Drosophila melanogaster: one gene and its partners. The protein of the gene in region 2 interacts with the protein of the main gene of each other region in a pairwise test. Each region holds a gene or a part of one and is shown on either strand. Other genes may lie near its edges.

What was found.
Region 1: the proteins of CG13084 (region 2) and HLH54F interact in a two-hybrid assay, tested with the Drosophila melanogaster proteins (one large-scale study listed by BioGRID).
Region 3: the proteins of CG13084 (region 2) and LpR1 interact in a two-hybrid assay, tested with the Drosophila melanogaster proteins (one large-scale study listed by BioGRID).

Annotation. Positions count from the first base shown.
Region 1 is NT_033778.4:17,754,178-17,763,732, reverse strand, and holds HLH54F (HLH54F), read right to left. Parts: upstream 6,329-9,555; 5' UTR 6,159-6,328; coding exon 6,083-6,158; intron 5,647-6,082; coding exon 5,297-5,646; intron 3,698-5,296; coding exon 3,395-3,697; 3' UTR 3,216-3,394; downstream 1-3,215. Other genes in the region: ACOX1 (acyl-CoA oxidase 1), read right to left, coding at 1-3, 69-685, 745-1,040, 1,098-1,390, 1,445-1,604, 2,344-2,467; Sardh (sarcosine dehydrogenase), read left to right, coding at 7,355-8,932, 8,986-9,128, 9,194-9,555.
Region 2 is NT_033779.5:19,480,808-19,488,571, forward strand, and holds CG13084 (uncharacterized protein), read left to right. Parts: upstream 1-4,122; 5' UTR 4,123-4,165; coding exon 4,166-5,090; intron 5,091-5,149; coding exon 5,150-5,589; 3' UTR 5,590-5,725; downstream 5,726-7,764. Other genes in the region: CG13083 (uncharacterized protein), read left to right, coding at 6,717-7,570, 7,628-7,724.
Region 3 is NT_033777.3:25,754,608-25,763,329, reverse strand, and holds the start of LpR1 (lipophorin receptor 1), read left to right. Parts: upstream 1-3,007; 5' UTR 3,008-3,127; intron 3,128-4,044; 5' UTR 4,045-4,153; coding exon 4,154-4,538; intron 4,539-8,722.

The DNA of each region.
Region 1 (9,555 bases), on a different chromosome or scaffold from region 2:
TTGCTGATATAAAAATATGAATTTAAATACTTGGTACTTCTACCTTTTTTTCTTTAGTAAATACTTACTTGGCGGCAACGAATTGGAAAGCCTTGACAATAGACCTCAATGATCCGTCAAAGTTAACAAACTTGGTTTGGTTTATTGCATCACTGATGTACGAAACCGTTGGCACCAGCTTCTCTCCATTCAAGGCCTGCCCATAAACCTTCACCAAATAGCGAGCAGTCTGCAGCAGCATCACTGTGTTCTCGCCCTCATAGGTGCAAACGGCCGTGGTCATGCCGTATATCGTGGGGAAGTTGGAGCAGTCCATGTAGCCATGTCCGCCACATGACAGACGACACGTTTCCACGCCGGCGGCGGCATCGGCACTACAGATGGCCTTAAGGCAGCAGGACAATGCATGCATTTCGGGCAGGCGATCCAAGTTACCCTGCTCAATCTCGCCAGATATCACGTTGTACATATTCCAGATGCCATCACCCGTCGTTTTGAAAACGATGGCTTTAGCTATCTGGGGGAACAACTTCAACTGCTGCGTGGTATGGTCCATGATTTGGGGCTCCGGTTGATTGGGATCAATGGGACTCTGTCGGCGAACAGCTGAATACCTAGTGGCAATAGTGGATGCCTTTGCCAGGCTCTGAGCGGTATCACGGATAAGAGCACAACGCACAAACATCTTGAATGAAAAAATGGTTAAAATCTCTGTGAAGATATAGTGAATATGTGTAATAGTACCATAGTTCCGTAGGTAAGCACGCTATTCTTCGGCGCCACATATGTGCCATCGGGCAGCACTTGCTGGTTCTTCATCAGCATGTTGTTTAAAGGCACCCGTACGTTCTTCAGTCCCAAATAGCCATTGTTGACACCCTTCATGCCCAGCTTGGTACCAATATCTCCAATGTCGATGCCGGGCATGGGACGGTGAGTATCGGAATCCCTCAATTGGACAATAAAAGGAGCCAGACCACGGAACTCGCCCTTGGTGTAGAGTTGTGCCACCACAACCGCATGGTTAGCAGTGTGTCCCACTGCAAGTCCCAGATTTTATAACAATTTCAAAATATTAAGTGTTCAAGAAAACTCACATCCACCGGGCCACCACTTGTATGCACTGAGTGATGGAGTGTTTATAACAAACTCCTGGGTGCTGGCATCGTAGTCAGCCCTGGTCTCCAGACCGCGCAGGAAGGTTCCGTGTCCCAGTTCCGTTTGGGCATAGGTGCCAATGATTTCACAGTCCCAGGCCTTGCTCAGCCATTCCACCTGCTGATCCATCGTTCCCTGGCCCATGATGGTGGGCACGAACATCACGTAGTGCAGCGCAAGCGGATTGCCCTCCTTTAGAATAGCCGATCCCAAGGATCCACCAAGCAGAGCACTATAAGCACACAAATTACAACCTGAAGTACATTAAATATAAGGATTTCTTTACTTGTAAGTATCCACTCCATCCTCGCCATCAGCACGTAGCTTGCGGATCTTCTCTCCTATGATGCAGGCTTTGCGCAAGCTGTGCTCATAGAGCTCCTTGTGTGACAAATAGGAAATGGGCAAGTCGTCCTGAAGGGCTGGATCCTCCAAAAACAATTTCTCTGGAAAAATCATAAACGAAATTTAATGTAAATGAAGCCATAAGGAAAGGGATTTAATATTTTAGGAGGTGTCATTTAGATAAGCATTGTTGAATTTTGCAGCGTAATCATGAGTGGAAAGTATTCTTCGTTAATTCGCGGGAGTTACTGGGCATTGTCCATTTATGATGCCCTGAGCGACCGTGCAAATCTGTCAGATAAACCTATCAGCTAAACTAATTTCAAGTGGACCTGGAAATAGATGGTGGGTAGCTGCAAACATTCAAAGTACACAAGTAGTCGGATTGATCGCGATTCGCGCGAAGTTCAAAGATTAATAACTTATGAGCTGGCTAATAGGTGCTGATTAACTAGTAGCGGCTTGTTTATGCGGAATACATAATTAATGAACTTTGGGCCACGGCGTGCAGCAAAATCAACAAATCGCATGAATGAATGGACGGAGAAGAAGCGTATCAAAACAAAGAAGTTGACAGGATGTTTTGGATAATTTATCAGTGGCTGACATGGCTAGCATCAGAGTTTGTACCCTACAGATTAGCTATAAATGCGTTAAAGCCTAGCTTAATTGCCAAGTCATGCTTTTGGCACAATTTCTTGCATCCACTGTTGGGAAACGCGATTGCGCCAAGCTCAGATAAAGCTCTGAGCGACCGGTTAATGTGAATGTACATGTAGGTCTGTCGGGGTCACCGGAGAAGCTTGAAATCCGGTGTTTTTCCCTTCTAAGCTAACTCACCCAGGGCCTTCTTCTCCTTGAATCGCTCCTCGCCGCCGGCCCACAGAACGGAGAACTCCCGGGGATTGAAGGTGGCCGTGCTGCGTTCCTTCTGGAGATCGGGATTCACTGGTTTGGCTGGCATTTTGCTATGCGGCACAGTATTCAAGTCACGTAAACAGGTTATGGATTAACGAGCCACCGCAAAGCGTCCGTCTTCGTTGAATATCGCGTACTGACTGATTGTTGCTGGAAAGGCGAATTGCGCTCAGTGGTCAGTCAGTCGGTCACTCAAGTGCTGGTGGAGGAAATCCAGTGGAGGAGATTGAGATTATGGACTGCTGATCTGATCCAGCTATTCCGAATCTAATCATCGATGCCAGCTCTCGAACGACGTGAACTTTAACCGCGAAAATACACATGTAATAAGTTCGCTTTTGTGTTGAAATAGTCTGTAGCACAACCATTATTCTCACGCCATTGTTGTTGGGCTACATTTATGAGTAAATACACAAAATAAATACACTGCATGTAAAAAGTACTTGGGCGTTTTCTTTCAGTTTGTTTCTAATTTAAATAAGATTGCTTTCATAAGCTTCTTTGTTCGTATAATTTGTTTGCAAGTGAATAATGCAAATTCACTACATCTTTCTGCATAAATAACATCTTTAAAATGTCTCAAATTAGCCGTTTTAAAAAAAGTAGGGTATTTGAATTCCGCCTTAATTAATAGATTAATTTTGTTTTTAGCAGCTCTTTGTTTGTATTGTGACGAAATCAGCTGTTGAACAGGGCTGCAAAATACAAACAAGTACGGCAGCACTCGACAACTCCAGGGATACAGTCACCATAATCTTGGCGCCAATTCAAAAAAATTCAAAAATTCCAATTTTATTAAAAACATAGATATATTTGCTAGCTAAATGATCATGAGGTAACACCAATCTTTGGCCTTATAGCATAGGTTCAGGCTTGCACATACGGAAACACGTAAAATTAAATCACGATTTAATACACTTACTAGGTGGTAAATTCATTTGGCTTAGGTCAGAACATTATTTATAATATCCGCTTAAATGCCATGGGCATGGCTAGTGGCTATAGCTATGCCCCGCTGATGCTGCCCCATTCCAGAGTCATAGGAACAGCTGGCCGCTGGCTCCATTTGATGCACTTCCGCCGGATACCAGTGACTGTGAGATTCCGGCAACTGATGGTAACTTAGATCCGCCGAAACATGGGTTTCGCCTCGCGTAGTCTTCGGATAAGATTGCGTATGCAGGGTTTGCCAATCCATACGGGCGGATGAGGTGGTTGATGATGATGGGGCAAATGCCAAACTCCGGCTACTCTGGTGGAACTCAAAGGGCCAGCTCTGCAAGACAGTATAATGTGGAATGTGTGGATAAAACAGGCATAAATCATAGGAGTTGTGGAAACCGCAGGGGCTATATATGGAACAATATGACGACAACCCATCCCGAGACAGCGCCATTGTTTGTTTACGCAACTTTGATTGTTTTTAGTGCCCACCCCCGCCTCCACGTCTAGATCTACAATAACAGCCTCATTAACGGATCTATAAAAACATAAACAGCCAAACACTTGCGGACAAGAGACACTCATTTGTATGCCATACAATGAGGGATTGGAAATGGGATATAGGGATGCTAGGGCTAGCGAGCAAATAGCGAACCAATGGGTTGTTCCCAACAGATCATCTTGGGCGCGTGGATGGTATAAATTCGGATAGGGTCGGGACTCTCCGATCCGATCTGATTTGCCACCATATGGGCACAAGACGGAGCCGTATTTGCTGAATTTTTCACGCATTCGGTGTGTAAACAATTGCATCTATTTAGATAAGTTGTGCACGCCATGAATCTTGAGTGATAGATTGTGTAAACTCCAGCGGGAATGGCTGATGGATAAACACGGTTAGACAAATTTTAATTACAATAATCCGAGTGGGAAAACTACTGAGGATGACACTTTCCCTCGCATGTCATTCACTGTGTCGCTTCAAAGCATCAAGAGCATCTTTAAAAATAAAAAATAAAAGCAAAGACTAACTAGTGCCCCCCATCCAGATCCGCAGGTCTGCGTTACCATCTCCGTTCCCTGCCCGCTCCACCAACAGCCTGTCACTCATATTTAATATTTTCGAAATTCACAAAAGTATCGGATTACAGGAAAGCAAGGCAGTCTGAAATCACAAAATGTGATTTCGGTGTTCTAGTGGGGGGCCCGGCTGAATGGCTGACTCCGGTCATGGGATGTGGATGTGGTTACGTTTGTGGTTCACCTCCACATCTAGAAAAGGTGGAAATACTTGTCGCCGCATCGCGTCCGCATCACCAAGCAGATGTTGCACCACATTCCTTTGGATTTTTGATCTATATTTCGCTAAAATTGCGTTGAATTACCCCTATAAGTTGAGTAGTATTACTAAATACTTAAGTTGCTTGTTAAAAAAAAAATGAGAATAATAGATTGCGTATACGTTTAAATTGTAATAGTATCAATTTTTTAAATTTTAAACACTGAAGCCTGGGTTTCCGTGTAACTTTCCACGATCTCTAAGTTAAAATTCTACGAAAGGCTAATTTCAACTAGCAAAATTTACAAATATCTACCTACTTTATTTCCTTAATGGCTTTTCAAAGAAAACGCATAAAAGAAAAATTTTCATTCCCAATACCAAACTTTCCATAAAAAGACATAAACTTATGGGAATCCCGATCGGCTGAACATTACTTCTCAATTAGACTGAAATCCATGAATAAACATTGATCTTGGGCATATCACTGGGCATCCCCTGCGACACCTGTCATTAACTGACGAGATCCACCTGAAGTGGCCGGCTCATTAATGCGTTCCCGTTCCCCCGAGCCGCGGGTGCAGTGCATCGTTAAGTGGTGGCAGTGACATCACTTATATTCGGGCAGGGGGATCGCAATTGCATGACACTTACCATGCCGTGTCCGTTGTTGTGGAAATTATAATTGCCTCCACCGGACGAATCTGCCATGTGACTTGTGTCCAGGCCTTCGGAACTGGTGGTACTCGAGTGACTGTGGTTGAGGCTGTGGTGCTGGTTGTGGTTGTGCGGGTGGTTCTGCGAGTGGCTGCCTGTCTCCACAGCCGTAATTAGCTGCTTGATGTAGAGCGTGGCCAAACGCAACGTGTCCAACTTGGAGAGCTTCGTGTCCGGCGGAATGTTGGGCAGCTTGGTCTTCAAACGTCCGTAGGCGCTGGATAAAACCCGCATACGCATCCGCTCCCGGGCATTTGCCGCATTTCGCTGCACCGGCGGTTGGGAGCCTGGAAAATCAGAAATGTAGATACATCTTAAGGAGCTCCAATAACAAGAGATTAATTAGAAACAAAAGGTTTTATTGGTATCCACAAAAGTTTTAAGTTACATTATAGATATCTTCGCAAAGTATGAAGTTCAAAAAGCATATGGAGTATGAATTTTAAACTCAATTTATATCTATTGTGCTTTCTGTTATTATAATTTTTATCATTATTATTATATTTTCATTTAGAGCTTAACGCATTTTAAATTAACATTCCTTTTAAGGTAAATTCTAAAGTTCGATTTAAAAAATTCTAAGGAAATTGAATTTTACTTTAAAGTAAATAATAAATTTACAAAACTAGCTAAACATATTTACATTGTCAACGTTTTTAAGCGTTTATAATACATCTTTTTAATATAAGTACAAAATCACCTATAAATTGAAATCGAACTCACTTTGAGAACTGGCATCCTCATCGAAGTCGTCATCAAAGAACTCCGTGGGGCTGGAACTGCGCTTCTTGCGTGGCATTGTTCAAAAACAAGTTGGTGGTATCACAAGAATCACTTCGAATATTTTCAAATTGGATATAAAATTCCAATCACTCAGTTTTCTCACTTAAAATCGAAACGCACCGAACCGAAACCAATCTGTGAGTCGAATACGTCCGATCTGCGTGGCACGTAGAGCACTTCTGTCACGGGTTACGGGGAGATCCTCCTTTTTGAGCATTCTGCTCCGCAGTTTGCAGCTCTCCAGATTCCGTCTATTTCTGGCACCTCTGGTGGGCGTGCCTGCTCCGCAAACAGTCCCAATTGGCGGAGGAATCCGGACACATGGTGCGATCGGCGGTCTCTTTCTCGGTTGTTTGCCTTCTGGCTGCCACCACATTGGCCACACAGTGTTCCTCCGTCGGTCTGCGGGAAAATTCAAAATGAAACGCTCGGTTTATCCGGTTCACTACGGGCGTTGGAGTGGGGATGTTGTGCCGTAAGGATGTGCGACGGGCGAGTGCGAAGCGTGCCAAGACTCCGGCTCCAGATGGCACCACCTGGTATTCGATCTCGCAGTGCATTTGGAGATAGGCATTAATGGCAGATCGGAAGAGATTATAATCCTGGGGTTCAACTGCGTATCCTGTTTGGGGTCGCCGCGATGGTTGGCATTTGAGTATGGGTCCAAAATTTCATTGCTTATGTGGGGAGTTTTAAGTTCCGAGAACGATTTTGACTTTTCAAATTTTCTGCGGGAAATGAAAATACTCGAAAATATATGTACATATATGTAGGCAACACTTTGTTTAATCTATAGAATTTACGTTTTCTTTAAGTGCTTTTAAAAGAAAAGCAAGAGTTTAATAAATCTATTTATATGAATGGATTAATTGAAACCACAACATATTAGCAAGAAGCATCTGTTAAACCGCATCTTTATTGAAACTAAAAATTTGCTCAGATTAAATTGTTTTTTGACCTACGTAGCTGCTAACTAATTTTACTACTTGCCACGCCTCCGAACCCAGATAAGAAACGTGCTGTGACCCTAAAACGTGGCCTTGATTAGGGCCTCCAGTCATGGATGGAACGTCACTGGCACAGCAGGTTTATCAGGATGCTGAACCATGGGTTATCCGATCAATTCAGCGGGAGATTATTATGGCGGTATTGTGTTTTTAACTCGAGAATTCAGTTGAGATTCTAAAGTCGTCGCGCTCGGCCGTTTTTGAGATGTGGCGCCATCGCATCCTGCAGCAAGCTTCGCGCCGTGGAATCAGCAAACAAGTGAGGGAAGATGGAGGAGCTCGAAGGGAACCAAGTGGATTCCTGCCAGGCGCAGCAGATGTTGTGGTTATTGGCGGTGGTTCGGCGGGCTGTCACACACTGTATCACCTGGCACGACGTGGTGTCAAGGCCGTGCTCCTGGAACGCGCCCAACTTACGGCCGGAACCACCTGGCACACGGCTGGATTGCTGTGGCGCCTGCGTCCCAACGATGTGGATATTCAGCTGCTGGCTAATTCACGTCGCATGCTGCAGCAATTGGAGGAGGAAACGGAGCTGGATCCGGGATGGATTCAAAATGGTGGCATCTTCATTGCTCACAATGAAACGCGACTGGACGAGTATCGCAGACTGGCCACTGTGGGCTCAGCTTTGGGTATTGAAAACCAAGTGCTGAGTCCGGAGGACACCCAAAAGTTATTTCCCCTCCTCGATCCGTCGGCATTTGTGGGCGCTCTCTATTCTCCGGGTGATGGTGTCATGGATCCGGCGATGCTGTGTGCGGCCCTCAAAAAGGCAGCCACTAATCTCGGAGCACAGGTAATCGAGAATTGCGGAGTGGATGATCTACTGCTGGAGCAGACTGCGAGGGGTAAGAAGGTGGTGGGTGTTTCCACGCCTTTCGGGGACATCAAAGCTGAGAAGGTAGTGAATGCTACAGGAGTGTGGGGTCGTGATTTGGTGGCCCGGCACGGCACCCATCTTCCCCTTGTGCCCATGAAGCATGCTTATATTGTTTCTGAATCCATTCCGGGTGTTAGAGGTCTACCCAATATCAGAGATCACGATTACTCCACCTACTTCCGCATCCAAGGGGATGCCATCTGCATGGGTGGCTATGAACCGAATCCCATTCTGCTGGAGCCCGTGCCCAAGGACTTCCATTTCGGACTCTACGAACTGGATTGGTCGGTGTTCGAGACCCATGTCGAGGGAGCCCAGAAATTGTGTCCAAGCTATGCGAAATATGGCGTGAAGAGCACGGTTTGTGGCCCGGAATCCTTTACACCCGACCACAAACCCTTGATGGGTCCGGATCCCAACCTAGATGGGCTCTACCACAATTGTGGCTTCAATTCAGCGGGCATGATGTTTGGTGGTGGTTGCGGAGAGCAGACCGCCTTGTGGGTCATCCAAGGTCAACCGGACCTGCCCATGTTTGGCTTCGATCTGCGCAGATTCACCCAGGAGCAGGGCAAAGCCATTCAGTGGATTAGGGAGAAGTCGCACGAGAGCTACGTGAAGAACTACAGCATGGTCTTCAAGTATGATCAACCACTGGCGGGTCGTGATTTCCAAAAGGATCCACTTCACGACGAGATGATGAAGGCAGGCGCCGTAATGGAGGAGAAGCAGGGTTGGGAACGGCCTGGTTTCTTCCTGCCCACCGGTTCCAAGAAGGCGGTGGTTCAGCCCTATGACTGGTACGGAAGCTATGTCCACCAGAGGCACAAGGACAGCGAGTACGAGAGAGTTCTGGATGGGGATCTTCACTACAGCCGCTTCTCGGAGTACCACGATCTCGTAGGTAGCTAAGTAGCTTATGGAAAGCCAAAATAATGATATATATCTTTCAGATCGGTTCGGAGGCCCTGGCATGTCGCAATAACGCCGTGGTCTTTAACATGAGCTACTTCGCCAAGCTGCTTCTAGATGGTCCACAGGCCCAGGAGGCCGCTGACTGGCTATTCTCCGCCAATACCAACAGGGATCCCAGCAAGTAAGATCCATGTATAGATATACAAATTTAGAAACCTTTCTAAACAATTACCACTTCCATTTTAGAACTGTCTACACCTGTGCTCTAAACGATGCCGGCGGAGTGGAGGCGGATGTGACCATTTCCCGCCTTGCTCCCGGTTCTGGAGAGGTCTACAATCCCAAGATCAATGGCCAGGGCTTTTATATTGTGGCTGGCGGCGCTTCTGCCTTCTACACTTACAGTGTTTTGCTGGCAGAGATCCGTCGAAAAGGATTCAATGCGAGCCTCAAGGATCTGACTGCCGAATTGGGTGTGATTTCTATTCAAGGACCAAACAGCCGAAAGATCCTGCAGCCCCTCATCGACTGTGATCTGTCCGATGAGCACGTAGCTCCCAACAGCACTCGATTAGCCAAATTCGGTGATGTGGGTCTCCGTTTGCTGC
Region 2 (7,764 bases):
ATAGTGGGTGGTGCCCTGCGGGGTTCAGGGCCGCCATCCCTGCAAGTGGGCTGGAGGGGTGCGCTCATCAACAGTTAGCAGCTTCTGCTGCTGGTGATTTAAGGGTTGCCAGCCAGCCGGCTCGCCCTTAAATGAATTGCGGCGATTTATTGCGGTAATACTCATTTAGCCGACCAGCCCCGAGGGGAAAAAACGAGAAGAGCTCACTGTATGGTCGAGGTAGCAGACTAACAGATACCCAGTACCAAATATATATATTTCTTAAGATAGCTGCCAGCAAAGAGAACCTTGTTAAGTATCTTCACTTTAATCCAGATATTAAGAAACTAATATTTCTTTGATATAAAAAAACTTCCACCATTTATCCTTAAGGTAAACTAAATTCCAGTTCAATTACCATTATCATTTTAATTAATTTTTGCTTTATTTCCTATTAAAATCAAAGATAGACGCATTTCTTTACCTTTTAATGTTAACATTATTTGAATAATCAATTTAATGAAATATATTCAAATAACGCTATGGCATTGTTGAGATCCAAAAGTCGACCTTCTCTGTGCAAATCCACGGGTTCATCACTCCCCTGCCTATCAGTACAGGGTATGCAAAGCCAGTCGAGTCGAGTTGAGTGCAAACAATGCGCACAATAAAAATAAATCTCTCCGGAACAAGTGTGTGTTTTGTTACACCCGTGGGAAGTCCGAGTGAGAAGTTGTCAATTACTTGCGAATCGATCTGGCCAGGCTCTGTTTTGGCATTCATGTCACCGCCAGGTGAGCAGGACCTCCTCGAATAATCGCCCTAATTGGCGGCTTCCAGAGCAGATGGGAATGGGAGATGGGCGGGATGGTACGTGATATGCATTTGCACCTTCTAGGCAATTAATAAGCCAATTCCACCAAATCGGCGGCCACGTAAATCAGCATTATGTCGGCCCAATGAAAATGAGCTCTAAATTCAATTACAGTTCTTGTCTTCTCCGCTTTCCCAAGTCGCTTTCCATTCCCGCATAAATCAGGAGTTCTGGGCCGCCTGCTCCTGAGATGCCAAATTACCCGGGTCCCGAGATGTCTTAGTAAATGCTAAGCGGCTTTGGCGCTCATAACTCACCCGGACACTTTGTCACATTATGCATTTAAATTTAATGTGTAATTTATGGGCGGCTTTGTCGACCTTCCCGCCTGCGCTGTCTGTTAATTAGAAAATCGGTTTGGAACAGTATTTCCAGGGGCACAATCTGGCAAGGAAAGCAGAAAAGTTGAACTACATACAATAATATACAAAAGAATATCCAAGAAGTTGCTTCAAATTGTCTTTCAACCAAGCTACTAATAATTACACTTCACATTTTCTGACACAAATTGTTATTGAAACAACAAAAGCTTAACATACCTTGCTTAACAATATTAGTTGCCCCATCCTTTGAAAACTATTTTCAGCAACAATGATATTTACCCTCCATTCCCAATCTTCGCTCTGCCGTGATACTTGGGGGGGTGCTCATTAATTACACTCCATAATGGTTACTTCCGCTGGGCCACATAATAGCATAATTAATCGATATTAAATGAACAGCAGCAGGACAATAAACGCCGGAAGCCAGCCACAAAAGGTTAAATTAAACGAAGTAATTGTTACACAGCCTCAGCCGTTGAAACTCGACCCCCTCTGGCCGTTTGTAAGGTCCTGAGGAGGGTTGTCCTGCCTGGGTCCTTTACAATGCATAATAAACAGTCGAGCGGGCACGGAGCAAACAAAAGTGGGGAACGAAGCTCGTTGAGATTTTGATTTTTAAACGGCACGTCGGGGGGTGGATGCGCTGGCTGGCTGGTTGGGATTCAGAAGACAAGGCTGTAAAGCGCACAAAGTCACACGGCAGGTGGCGATGAACATGGGAAGAGTGGGTGGGTGTCTCGGCACACAAAGTGATTTAAATGCATTTCTAATGGGATGAAATTATATACTGTCTGAGCCAACACAAGCTCTCTTCAACTCCATTCTCATTCCTACTCTGATTTGCGGTTTTCAAGGGGCGGACATAAATATGCATGAATTTGCGCTTTTGATGTGCTAGCCATAAAGAGTTTATTCCCGAACGGGACCACCTTCATCTTAAGCTAAGTGCCTTTACTTAACTTTAAATTAAACTGTACATTTTTTAATTAAAATTGTCCCATAAAATAATAATTAATGCTCTTAGGAGACACCGTCGTGATAATTTGATGGCCAGCTAAAGCCGCTTAAAATAATTTCAAAACACCAATTTGTGACTGCCCCATTTCAGGATTCACATTTAGCATCTTATCAGAGCTTAGCAGCTGGGGTCACCACCCGTCCAGCTACGGAATGTGATTACAGCTTTTGGCGCTCCGCCTGAAATTTCAGCGGTTTCAAGTGTCCATTTGGCGGCGCAATATTTAACTCCAAGTTTCGAACACCAGGACCATAGGTATAGCGATGCAGATGCTTTGAACGAGCCCTAAACTCTTCTTCTGATCCCGGAAAACTGATTATTTCGTGAACCAAGTGAGGTTCGGGAACATAGAAGTCATCGCCTAAGGTAAATGATTATTTAAAAAAAATGATTTGGATATTACACTGAATATTCCTTTAACATACCAGGTAAGACGAAAACCATAGAGCCCTGGCAGTTATAACCAATCGGCAAGAACATGGTCGTTCCCAATCCGCTGCGCTTGATGGCAAATTCCAACAGGGATTGATACGCCTTAATTCCCATCAACCGGGACAATTCGTAGACCTGTGGTGGCATGAACCAAACATTGCCCAAATCAGCCAGTCGCAGCAGTTCAACGGGTGTCAGCCACTATATACATAAATAACTCGTTTATTGTGAATTTGGGGTTTAAAAGATAAACCTTACCAGCGTTTCCTTGACCTCGGAAGGTTCTTCCAGCAATTCGGGCTGCTTGTCCACAAAAGCCATGAAGAAAACGGTTTCATGCCTATTAAGTGTAATATAATCTATATTAGAACCAAGAACTTTACCATACTTTTTTTAGATTACTAAGCAAAGAAATTAAGCTTTCATTTATGATTTTTTTGTGACCCCATACCCACCCTTTGCGTATGAATCCTGGACTCGCCCAGGCAGACCACTCATGCAGAGCCCACAAATCTGGAACTACATTTAGCTCGCGGCAGAGAGTTAGAAACTCAGCCGGCTTGTTGTGCACCCTTCGCTGCCACGACTCCAGGTCTGGAACAGCCTGAGCGCAAGTTACCGCACCAAAATCCAGTTGACTCCGACTCCGGCAAAGCAACAGACCCACCTCTTCAAAGCATTCCCTCACGGCGGTTAGTCGCAGCGTAATCTCCCTAAAAAGACAAAGGTCATAGATTAAACTCCCAATGTGACAGAGTTTAGCGCAACCTTTGGACTCACCGAGCCCAAATGCGGGAACGCTTAAAGAACCGATCGTAGCAGCCAGTGCCCTGGGGCGCCAGAATGGCAGGACGATCTTCGCGGATGAGAACCAGGCGGCGTAGTGCCTCTTGTGGAACACCAAACTCCTCGAGGTAGTGCAGCCAGGCGACGCTTTCATCGGCCCCAGAGTCCAAGAGGCCACCGGGAAATACAGTCTGATTGAGCGCAATCGCCGTGGCATCACTGCGTTTTAGCATAAGCACCTGAAAGGTCAGGATTATGGTTATCCGCTTTTGGAAATGGCCTCTTCACTTTCCTTGTAATCTTTGTTATTGCCATCATCTCTGGACACCAGGATTACACTGGCCGAGGTGCGCCACTTGGTAGGAGATGCAGGTTGGCTCATATCTGCTTTTATTTAGCCAAATGAGTAGCAAAACTGTTTAGTTCCATCCACAAAGAAAACGAAATCAAAAGGTTGTTTTGTTCCCTCCAATCAGCTGATTGGTCGATAGGCACGATAACGACTCCTGTGCAAAAAAAAATCGATCGATAGCCGCCTAATCAAAGCGCTGAATATTTGAAGTTTGAATTCGTGCGAAATTCAAACTTTACCTTTTTGGTCAGATTACCATGCAGAAGCGAGCACGAAGAGCAAAAAACCCAAATAGATTAGTTCCAATCCACACGTGTTCGCAAACATATTTAAGCTCTGCCCTTGGACAACAAAAGACACTTGCAATTGGTGTTTCCAGTCGAAAACAACTTGCAGTTGAAATGAAAGTACTGATCACGTTCTTCTTTCTGGGCGCCTGCCTCTGCGGCATCCAAGCGGATGAGAGCATCGCTGACCTCTTGAAGGACAATGCGAAGGGCGTACAGGCAGCCAATGTGCTCCTGACCCGGATTGCCCAAGTAAGCGAGCAGACTCAGGTCGGTTTGGCAGAGCAAAAGGAGGCACTGAAGGCCCTGACGCTCGTGGAGAAGCTGCTAGCCAAGTTGACTGTCGTTCTGGAGGTTGGCTCCCACAATCTGGTGGCCACCCTTGAGAACCTCTCTAGGCAGGGCGAGGAATACGGCAATCGAACGGAGTCAGAGCTCCTGGAATTGGTGCGTCTGCAGGAGGGCACCAAGGAGATACTCAATGTCCTGGAGGCCAAGCTGGATGCCTATCAGAGGCACGTGCTCCATAGTTCCCGCAACATTGACAACAGCATCGACGGACTGGCCAAACTTATTACTAGGACGGTGTTGCCACAATTGAATGGGCTAAAGTGTACCTTCGATAGCTTGGAGACGTCCCAAATCAACGTGGAGGTGGAGCTGAAGAACTTGGCCGGAGTCAAGGAGCTCAGCGAGAACTCCAACTTCAAGCTGAACGTGCTGGAGCATCAATTGAAGCAGCTGAATCGCACTCAGGAGCAGCGCTTGGACATCCTAATCGATGCAGTCAAGCATTTGCAGCCCCACAGTTCCTGGAAAGTGGAGGCTGTTCTCCGCGAACTGATCATCTCGCAGAAACGCATCGAACTGGGTCTGGAAGAGTGCAGCCGACAACAGCCCTATCCGCAATATGGCCATCACGACGAGTCCTATCTTCCCACCTACGGAGCTGAGGTCCCAGAGCCGCAGCATGCTCATCCTAAGCCCAAGCAAGTGGATCTGGAACAGGTGTGGAGCATCAAGGAGGAGCCCAAGCACGGTAAGTGGTCCTTATTGCCACCAGATTAGGATCACAAATTAATGGCTTGTCGTTCATAGGAGAGCACTCTGGAAACCACAAAGCTACCGCCTATGCCCAGTCCCCCGAGCCAAAGAAGAACTATCAGAGCTCCAGCGCCGTGTCCTGGCGGCAGACGGTGCCGTGGGAGTACGGATCCCCATACCAGTCCGCTCCAGTTCACCACCATCAGCCATGGAACCCAGCTCCGGCCCACGTTCCCACCTCCGTTACCAAGCCCAAGCCGTGCCCCAAGAAAGAGCACCCTACTCCGGCATCCTATGTTCCTTTGCCACATGACCAGCCTGAATCCTACAAGCTTCCTGTGGATTACAGTCCCAAACCTAACCACGAGCAACCTCATAAGCCCCACCACGAGCCACAGTCTTACAATGAGGAGATCTACAAGCCACAGCCCATCCAGCCAGGAGAATCCTTCAGGATTTGGTATGGAGACAGTTCCCTCCCCCAAGGATACTAAAGGAAGATTTAACTGGGACTACCACTGTTACTGAAACTGATACAACTTTTCAAAGCATTTAACAAACTCTTTTTTTTTAATTCAGATTCATTACTTTGTACAATTTTTATGTTTTATAAATAAATAAAAAAAAAGCAAAGGAAATACATTTTTGATTATATTCCTAGCAAGTAATTAATAAATAACTTTTGAGAAAAAATGCTATAGTTTCATGGAAATCATATGCATCAACTTTTAGCATCGTATGCGAAAATATACATTCAATTTCCAAAAACTTTTCTCAAAATCTATTCAAAATATACGAAGAAATTTTTGTTATTTTGTATGTTTTGTAGGTAAATAAATTCACCTTACTATTAACCTATGCTATTGTTTGTTGATAGAAGCAAATTTTAAAAATATTTTAAGCTTTTTTAAAAGTTAATAGTAAAGGATCCAAGTTTGTTTAAATTTGCAAAAGGCATCTTGGCCAATTTTTGAATAGGCATGATAATATGAAGGATAATTAATTATACTGCTGTTTTCGAAATAGGAAACAAAATATAGACTTATTAAACTTTTACAAAATTACTTTAGTTCGCTTTATTACTTTATTTCTTGTAAACGATAGACAGTATGCCCGAAAACATTTGTTACGTTATCATTACCTTCGAAGACCTATTTTCTGAATGAATTTGAACAAGAAGCAGCTGGGGCACGTTTTTCAGTGGTGTTATTACTACCGTAGCACACAAAAAACCGGGTCAATCTGTTCTGTTTAGAAACAAAGAAGAATTTTGAAACGTGACACTACACGGATTTTCCCTAACTTTACCAAGATGTCGATGAACCAATAACTATTTAGTACGACTACATGCAACATAATTCGCTTTAGTTCTTTCTTTTTACAAGATGATAAAACAGTTGTTCGCGACTATCTTCTTAGTAGTAGGGAAATTCTCGTAAACACACTATTACAGATTGGAGCAGCATTTGCACCTGCACCCGCTGAAGAGAAGTGGGTGGTGACCGAACTGATAGAACTTAACCCAGTCTAAGACACGTTTTGGACCTTAAGTTGGGCTACTTAAGTTGCGGTTCGGATCGAAAAGAGACACTCAGCGGGGAGCGGCCATCAGAGAAACACCATGAGAGTGCGACTGACTTTGCTAACGATATGCATTTACCTATGCGCGGCTGCAGCTGAGGATCTGGACTCCATCCATGAGATCCGCAGTGAGGTGGAGGAGCTGATCAAAGGTACGGAGGAGCTAAACCATGGGCTGCAGAAAGTGAAGGACGTGCAGAAGGGCATTGAAGAGAAGTTCAAGCATCAGCGCGACGAGATCGAACTCATTGCTGGATTGGAGGTTGCCATAGCCAAGCTGGAATCGAACGTTCAAAGCAGCTTCCAAGCCACGGCCTCTGGAGTGGGAAATTTGACAGCCATTGTTAACGCAATCCAGGGTCAGAATGAAAACTCTATTAGGAATCTTACCAAAGTGGAGCTAGAAATCAGGAAAGCCCTGGAACAAGTGGCTGCCAATCAGAACAAATACGAGCAGAACCTAAATGAAGTGGCCTCATCCGTCAACTCGCATCTGTCGGAGATTCAGCAGCTGCTATCACAGGCCGTCATAGGGGAACTCATCGGCTTGGACAATAAAGCGAAGGTCCTCCAGGAGCAGCAGCGCAACATCGTGGGTCAAGTGGGATATCTGGGCGAACTTAAGGCTCTGGCAGATCGTGCCAATCGCAAAGTCAATCAATTGGAGTGGGGTCTGGTCATTCTCAACCGCACTCAGTCCGAGAGCCTCAACAGCATCGAGCACACTGTCCATGGAGTGCAGGTGGCCACCTCACAGGTCGATCATAAACTGGCTGCCCTACTGAACAATCAGAAGAACATTGAAAGGACGCTGGATGGCTGCAAGCACAAAAATCCGTCACACCAGAAGCCCCACGAGATCTGGACTCACCCGGAACACGCACCAATTTACAAGTAAGTTTGTATGCCCTACTTCTGGGTGCACACTAAAACCACTCTTTTCATTTTAAGGCCAAAACCAGAGGGCAATCAAGGATACGAGAACGTCTATGCATCCCAAGAAGAGGCTGAATACCTATACAAACTTTGGTATGGAAAGGGCCAGTAGCATTAATACGAAAACTGAAGATAGATGTTTTATGCCATAT
Region 3 (8,722 bases), on a different chromosome or scaffold from region 2:
TTCTTATCTAAGAAAAAAAGCATGTAAAAAGAAACGCGTGGAAAACTTTTCGTTTCTACCTAATGCGTTTGACGTTTTTTTAATCAAACTCACTGCACTATGTTAATTAGCCAAATATGGTAATAGGTAATTAAAGCAACCCCCTATGGGGTGATGTGATTGGAAATGGTAAAGAGACAGACACTTCATATCCACTACACAAAAAAAACCAACGACGAACTTTCAGAACCGCGTCGATAGTCGAGTGGATCGGAACCAACAAAGTGTTAAGAAATAAAATAATGAAGATACAATGCATAATATGAACTGTGAAGTGCAAGGACCACACAAAGTGTTCATAACGCAAACAAAATAATAATCAGTGTATATCAGTGCAAACAATACTAACGAATTCCCTGGAAAATCGCAGCAAAGTTCAATTAGACCTACCACAAATGAGGTGTAGACGCCACCGAGTTGAGATCTTCAGACATTGTCTATACGTAGACCAAATCGAGACTTTTGCCATAACAACAGCAAACATTGGGTCATGTAATTCCCAACTGCTCGTATAATGCCCTGGTGTTGAAAGTGTAGAAAGGGCGTATGGAATTTGGGCTTAATTTGATAAAGACTTAAGTCAGAATTTCCGCTTTGGAATTACTCGATCAATGCACTTAAAATATTAATTTAGTTCAAGTGGAACTACAGTCTTACCTAATTATCATGAATTTTCAATAAATACGACAACTTTTATGATCGTTTATTTCTAAAACTAATTAGTTTTTTATGTTGCGATGGTTATTAATATTTCTGCTCGCTTAATTCGATTTTTTTAAAATATTTCTTATATTTAAATTATATAGCCAAGGGACTCCTGTTTCGGTATCCGAAAATAGCGATTACAGTCAGGCCACTTAAAGATTAAAGAACACTGATCATTATCTGGCCAAGCGATAGTTGATAGATGGGCTGGCCCTTCACGCCTGCCAAAACCACAATAGACACATATGTATGTATTGGTGTATATATATATGTACATATGTTTTCCTAAACTCACACTCGACAAAACTTGAACACACGGCACGGGGCTGCAGGGCGATAAAATGCAGTGTCAATTGAAGTGCTTGATTAGGCGATTTGCGAGCGATTCGCCAGCGATTTCCAACGCCTGCAATTAGAGACGGCGGCGCACTGCAAAATATACAGAATGGTTGGCAGGGGCGTTGGTTTGGTGGGGGTTTTCCGACGGCTCTGTCATTCACAAGCATCGCGGGGTGGTGCTTGAAAAATGATTTACACGCGCAAATCATAAATTATGCCCATTTCAAGTGGACCGTTACGCCGGAGAATCCATGACAAATGCAGATGACGCCCAAGCACCGATGACGATGGTGATTGCAATGCAATCTAATGGCTGATATGATGGTGATTGTGATTGCGGGTTTGATTGAGATTTCCATTGGTACTGGGATGCTGCTAGTGCCGATAATTGTTTTGAAGATGACGCATTTTAAATGACTGACCCTAACCGAACCCATTGTCCGCTGGCTGCGATTTTTCACCGCCTCTTATCATCGACGTCAGTCAACGCAACTCTAACCAAGCCAAAAGCCAATGAAATCAAATCCACGACACTCCAGTTCAATTTCGAATTTCACACCACTTTCAATCGGACCCACACCTGGTTTGATTGAAAGCGGCGACACTTTCAATGCTAATGAGCTGCGATTCCGTTTACCAATCGCCGAAAGGCATTTCAGTTCGCATCGGTCTTCGCTGGGCATCACACCGTAAAACCTTCCGGGTCCCAAAAAAAAATCAAAAGAATTAAGTATATTCAAAATACCTATTTGATACCTGGATATAGTTTCGGTGGGCCCATGCAGAACGTCACGACTGTCGTACGATTATCGGCACAATTCTCACGTCCGGTTGTCCAGCTTAATTAAAAAATATCTTTGTTTTTCGCACTGATAAACGCGGTGGCAACGCAAAAAGGAAGTCTAGATACATACAGTCTGAAAAACGTATTTTCGTACAGTACGATGTTTAAAAGTGATCTCTGTGTGCTGATTGTGATCTCCTTGGCGTTTTCCTTACATTCAGGTTGGTACTGTAGAAAATAGGATTTTTTCCGAGGTCTGAAACTGCTCTTAATTCGGAGCCCTTAACCACTTATTTTTAATTAGACTTTAATATCAGATTGAATAATTGGCTGACCAATTACATGTACATCTAAGTACACTTTGTGCGATTACCCTATATAACCTTTGTTGGTTCGCAAACATCATTCTCAAGTTAGCACTTGAGTCCTTCTTTTTCTTTCTCAGGGGATATTTGCCCAACTTGAGTATAAAATAACAAAACGTATTTTTAAATTAAAGTGGATTCTTGGCATTACGACAAGATAATTATCACTACTTATTCAATATATTTCCACGGAATTCTGTCTAGTTGTGAAATCAGTCGCAATATTCCGAAAGTAGTATGATCCCTTATCATAAAAAATACTTTAATTTCTAAGGCGTAGGTTTATAACTTAAGAAATGATTGATCGATTCTTAATAGCTGGGATTCGTTAGCATGTTGCTTTTGTTTTTTAAATAAATTATCTCAGTTGAAGAAGCATTTAAAATTCTTGTAGTTTTTAAACAATGCTTCTGTAATAGTTGTATCTATAGATCGCCCAACGATTCCTTGCCCAATCTATCCATTCACATCAACGTACGCTCCATTGATCACTGATCAACTGGTTTGCCTTAAGAGCACCTTGTACGTTAGTAATCTTTTGGGGAGCTAAGAGTGGAATACAGCATCGATTAAATTCAGAGAGTGCTCCGATCTGCCAGATCACTCTTTATGTATCTCTTCGACGGGGTCTGGTCAGTTTCTTGTCAGTTTTGATAAGGCCACCTTAAGACGGTGCAAAAACAAGCACAATCGCAAACGACAGTTACTCTCGGCTCTCGAATTAAAATCGCTGGCGATTCGCTTAAATTTGCAGGCCAATTCTCTAAGCGAATTCAGTTGAAAAAGGCGCGTTGTGCGAAACGGGCATCACAGTTTTTTGCGGTTTATTTTCAACTTAAAAACCAAATAAAAAACACAAAAGAAACAAACAAAGCGAAATAAAAACAAACCTCATGTAATTCAAACATTCTACAGATTTAAATGCAATGATCTGTTTCTGAAATAAATTTGGAAAGACGCGATTAGCACGTGCCGCACATTCGCAGACACCTTGAAAATACCGCAAAAATAAATCAAAATAAAAGGCAAAACTGATAAGAGTTTATTTATCCGGGCGATTTGACGCGTGCTAGCTACAAATATCGGCAACAACAATATTTAATTAATTTATTTGCGCGATCGGAGGGGGCGTGGCCGTCCGCTCAACTAAATTTTAAATTATACTTCGGCTTTATTAATTGCCAACGTCAACAGAAACGTTTTTGTTTCTCTATAAAAATTAAGGGAAAACTTGTTTTTCTTGCTAATATACAATTATTATCAAATATTTTACTTATCGTTTATAATTTCCATATTTTACTCAAAATAAATGTTATTTCTCGTTAAGTACATATATAATTATTTTCAAAGTTTAATATATAAATGAATTTTCTGTGTAATTTTATGCGTTGCTTTTTTTCTCTCTTCGCATTTTTCGGTGATTTTGTTGTTGTCCGATATTTTTGCTTAAATTTTTTTTTTTCGGCCTTTTCGGTTTTTGTATTTTTTTTTAGCTACGTCGCGTTTTTGTGTGTCGCACGATTTTCAACCAGTTTCTTCAGTCTTCTCATCTCGAAATAAGAAATGTGAAGAGAGACGAAAGTAAAAGAGAATTGGCCGGATCGTGTGTTTATTTTATTTTTTGGCTGGCAAGCGATTCTTCCAATGTTTTTGCGTTAATGCTTGCGTTTATTTTTACGTTGACGCTGGTTCTTTTGGCCATTTCTCTGATTAGATAATCTCTGGCGAAGATCTCACGCTTCCTGCTTAGATAATCTATTCAACCAGGGTCACCAGAAATCACCCCACTTAATTTTCCCCTATCGAATACAGTGTCTATACAAACCTTGTAAGATCGAAGTGATAAAAGTGTGAAAAAAGCATTAAACAGACAGCATAAATTAAAGCAAAAGAAGAGTGAAGGCAAGCAAAATACCGTACCATGGCCATAGAGTCACGCTCTACGAGCACTGCAAGTGAAACCACAAAAACCGCCATAAAATCAACCACAAGCTCAAAATCTCCAGTAACATTCGGTAATCTCGGCGAGAAAAGACGCGCCGAACAGCTGTTCCGCTGCGCATGCGCCAACTTCAATCTCCTGCTCCTGACTTTAATGCTCGGATTCGGCAAATGCTGCACTGCCACGCCCACGCCGCTGAACACGCCCTCAACGAACACGCCCACCTCGGCAGTTAGCCCACATAATCCACAAACGCTGGACGAGAGCGGATCGCTGAGCAAGGTGATCGATGGCAAAGCCTTCATCAACATGGGATTCAAGTTCCTCAACGTTTCCGGAAAGATTGGCACACCCCTCGGCATAGGTGAGAAATGCATTGGCTGATTGAAAAAACCGGCGAAAATAGCGAAAAACCAGAAAAAAAGATCGCACAAGGGGGGGCACAAAGTGCGATGTTTGTTTATAGCCTAGCTTGTGCTAATTTTAGACCACAGATGTCGTCGAGGTTGAAGTCGAAAATGAAGTTTGGATACCCTGGCTTGGGGTATATATAAAATGATTCATTTAATCTTTTCAACTTGATGCCTATTTACAAATATGTAAAATGAAAAAAAATTTGTATTAATAACTGCGTTGTAGAACAAAGTAAAGTACTTAGCTTGAGCTGATAACTTAAAATTAAAGCGCGTGCAATCGAATTACAATTTAATCGTTAAAGAATTATCAACCAATGCTAAGAAGCTTTTCATTAAACTTTATTAAGCTGATAGTGTTTGAGTATTTAGTTATTAAATTATCCCCAAGCCATTGAGCAATGTAAACGATTATTTCAAAATATTACATTATCTTCGCAACTCCAAGCAATCCTCTTTGAATGGAAAGTAAGCAGTTTTGACTTATATGAGTCAATAATAACATTTAAGATATATGGCCTTTCCATTATACTGCTTAATTTATAATCATCACAATCTTGGTCACAAGGGTATCACCTGCATGTCGAGTCATTCAAATGGCTTTGCTCACTTCACACTTCGTGCACTTAAAATGGGCTCAGTTAAAAAGATACAGATACAAGCACTAATGCAGTTGCAGATACAGATACAAAAGTGCACCTTCCACTTGTTGCACACACACAGACGGTATGCGGACCTACTGTTACCGTGGTATCGAAATAGCCGAGAATTTTTTATCCACTTCCGCATTGATTTCCGCCTGGCTGACCATCGAGAATCTGTATCTTCTAATGGCTAAGCGATAGGAAAAGCGTTTGGCGTCTATCTGTGACGTTATTTTGTGGCGCGGGGCATTCCAATCATAAATCTAACTTTAAATCTAGCCACCTGTTTTGGCCAATATGGATTTACGTTTAGTGCTAGCCCCGAACTGGGGATTATCTTATCGGTCAATTTTACGATTTGTTTTTATGCATTTTTCGACCGCCGGGATTTCGCGACTTGAAGATAAGTGGACAATAAAGGGCAGTCAGACAATAGAAATTTCCTTCTATAAATCAAGAATTAATGGATTGATAGTGCAAGGAGCTTTGAATTGGTGCCATAAGTCATTCAAATGATCTTGAAAACATATAGATAAAAGAATATGAAGTGTGAAAACTACGATTGTTATAAATTAATATTTAATTTTTAAGACGTATTAGAGCAGTTATCCTAACCAAAATAATTTATTTTTATTGTTCACACATTTTGGTTTGAAACTATTTTTAAATAGCTAAATTTTTTAAGCAGTTCGCACTTTTGAAAATCAATCAACATATTGAGTGCCAAAAAATAGTCTTAAGGCTAAATCTGCCACATTTACTTGCATTTTTGTACTTTGCTCTTGGGAATCTTGGACTTTGCTCTATATATTATAAATTGTTGACAAAAAAAAACACACATTTTCTTAAACATCTCACAAAAAAACAAGGCGCATTTCAGAGATATTTGTATCAGAAATTGACGTAGTTCAGAAAATCGGTGCGCCATCCTACTGCGATGCCTAATTTAAATTTAAATATAATTTTTTTTTTTTTGGCTTTTCAGTATGCAGTGTACTAGGAAAATTCACATAAATATAGACCGAGTCGAGCCCCCAATTCTCAGTCGATTTGCGTTGTAATGCTGCCCATCAAGGGGCATTATCTCTTTGATATTCTCTTTTTCCCTGCTGACTTATTGTTAATTCCATTTGATTTTTCACGCTTGAAAGTTGCTGTCAGATAAATTAACATATGCTTGATATGATATATGTACATATGTATGTTTGTTTGTGCATATGTATATGTTCGCATCTATATGCGATGTGGCAAGGTCGCCGAAGAGAGGCAGAAGTTGATTCAATTTTTATTCGTACGCCCCATTTCGATTCAGTTTTTAATTTATTCGCTGTGCCAACAGATTTCTCTAGCATATAGAACTAGCTGGTGCCAGAACCGATGGCAAACAAACAATAACAAATTAATAGTGGGCGTGCTCATCTTACGTAGAGAGAATGTTGATGCAGTTTAATTGTTTTGTTTGCTTACTGTAAACATGTTTTGATTGATTCAACTATTCTTGGGAAATTGTTGATGCATCAAATCATTCTCTATACGGGCCGCATCCCCCAGGAATCACGTGTTTTGTCATTCCATGTATAACATTAAATTCATTCAGGCAATTATCAATTATCAGGTAATCCATTAACCTTGATTTTGACGCAATCGGGGCGCTGAGTTTATCAAAGGCTGTGCTCCCAGTTGAATTAATATTAATTAGTGTTAAATCGGGGAAAAAGAAAATAATGAACTGATTTCGTTTTTTTCCCAGCAATTAACACCTTGCTCAACCAATATAGTCATATCAGTTTTTCCCACAGTTATGATTACTTCTTAGTCTAATATGACCATGTGATAAGGGCTTATCAGCAATTTTTTGGCACGCTGTGTCTATTGCTTTTTATTTTTGTTTTTGTTATATACTAAAAAATAATCGTATGATGATGACAACTTGCAGTTTCTGATTTTCGAGCGGCGAAGTGAAGTTTATTGGGTTAAGCCAACCGGATTGTGTGTGGACTTGTTTTCGCCTCTACGATTAACAAAATCATTAGCTATGCTAAGCAGTTTGCCTATCGATATGGTTTATTTATTCATAGTCTCGTATTGTGTGTGAAGTTTGGCCGAAGTTGGCGGCAGACAGGCTGTTGTTGCCCATAATGGTGATATTGATCTGGTTTTTCGATCTGTGGGGTGTGTCCGCCTCATTACGGAAACTCGGTAATCAATAACCACCGACTGGTTCAATTTAGTCAAACTCAATAGGTTTAGATTGTGACAAGAAAGCAAAGGAACTTAATTGATAGGTGGCAACCGGCTGGAAAATCTATTAGTGGGTTAATTGATGTGCAAACTGACGGTTTAAATCACTTTTCAAGGATGTTTTCTGAATTCATCTTGAGTTTTCTAGCAAAGTTTAGCAAAATTCTTCCAAGAAAAACCCTTATCAATCTCAAGCTATGCTAATTTATTTAAAGGCGCGTTCAGGGTCACAATTTATAAGTACTTATTTCTGTTTGCCTATTTCTACTCGTAGAACCTCCATATTATTATTTTTTCATTATCCTATTCAAAATCCTTCTGTGAGCCGCAAGCTAATATTTATTTTTGTACTTTTTCATTCAAACACCCGCCGCATAAGGCAAAGGAACTCATTCATCGTCATGCTTGACGTCATTTGGAATTATTTCAACGAAATTCCCCCATCTGCCCCATAAATACATATATGCATGCATTTGCTCGAATTATAATTTGCCATTTTGTTGACTGTCATCATGTATAATTGAAAACAATTCCCGACCAGCCAGCGCGGCGACATGAAATCGAATTGATTTGACCTTATTGATTGACGGCTGCAAATCGGAGATATCCCATTGTTTATTTTGCCACACGCACGGCTCCACTTCAATATTGCCTCCTTCATTATTATCGCTTTTTGCTGGCCCTCTGTTTGTTCAATGGCAATCTATTAAATTCATTTTTTTCATGTGTCACATTTTGTTTTACGTTCTTACACTAAGAAAATGAAGAAATAGTCCACCAAAAAGGCATAAGTCAATTTAAAAAAATAATGAAATAAAATTTATCCTAAGTATTATATACTTATATGAACGCTTTCCCATTATTAATTTTTTTTTTGAGCTACATATTACATTATAATAAACATTCGCTATTTTTCTCTGTGTAAAACTGTTGACATTCCTTGGGTTTTCTGGCCGTCTGTCTGATGGCTTGTTTCGTTCCGAATATGTGTATTGCATATTTTCAAGGGCTCCTATGTTTTGGATTTTCCGGGGAGGAGGCAAAAAACTTTGTGATCCATTTTGTTTGAGGCTTTTCTGTTGATTAAAAGCTCCACAGCCATTTCCCTCCATTTTATCGTTTAGTATGCAAATTACTTGTCACACTCACACATATGTAGGCAAGCGGATATATATCTGTCTGTGTCTGCAGCTGATTGTTTTTGAAGTTTTTAGCCCTAATCAATTTGAGCCTTTGTTATTTTTCCTTTA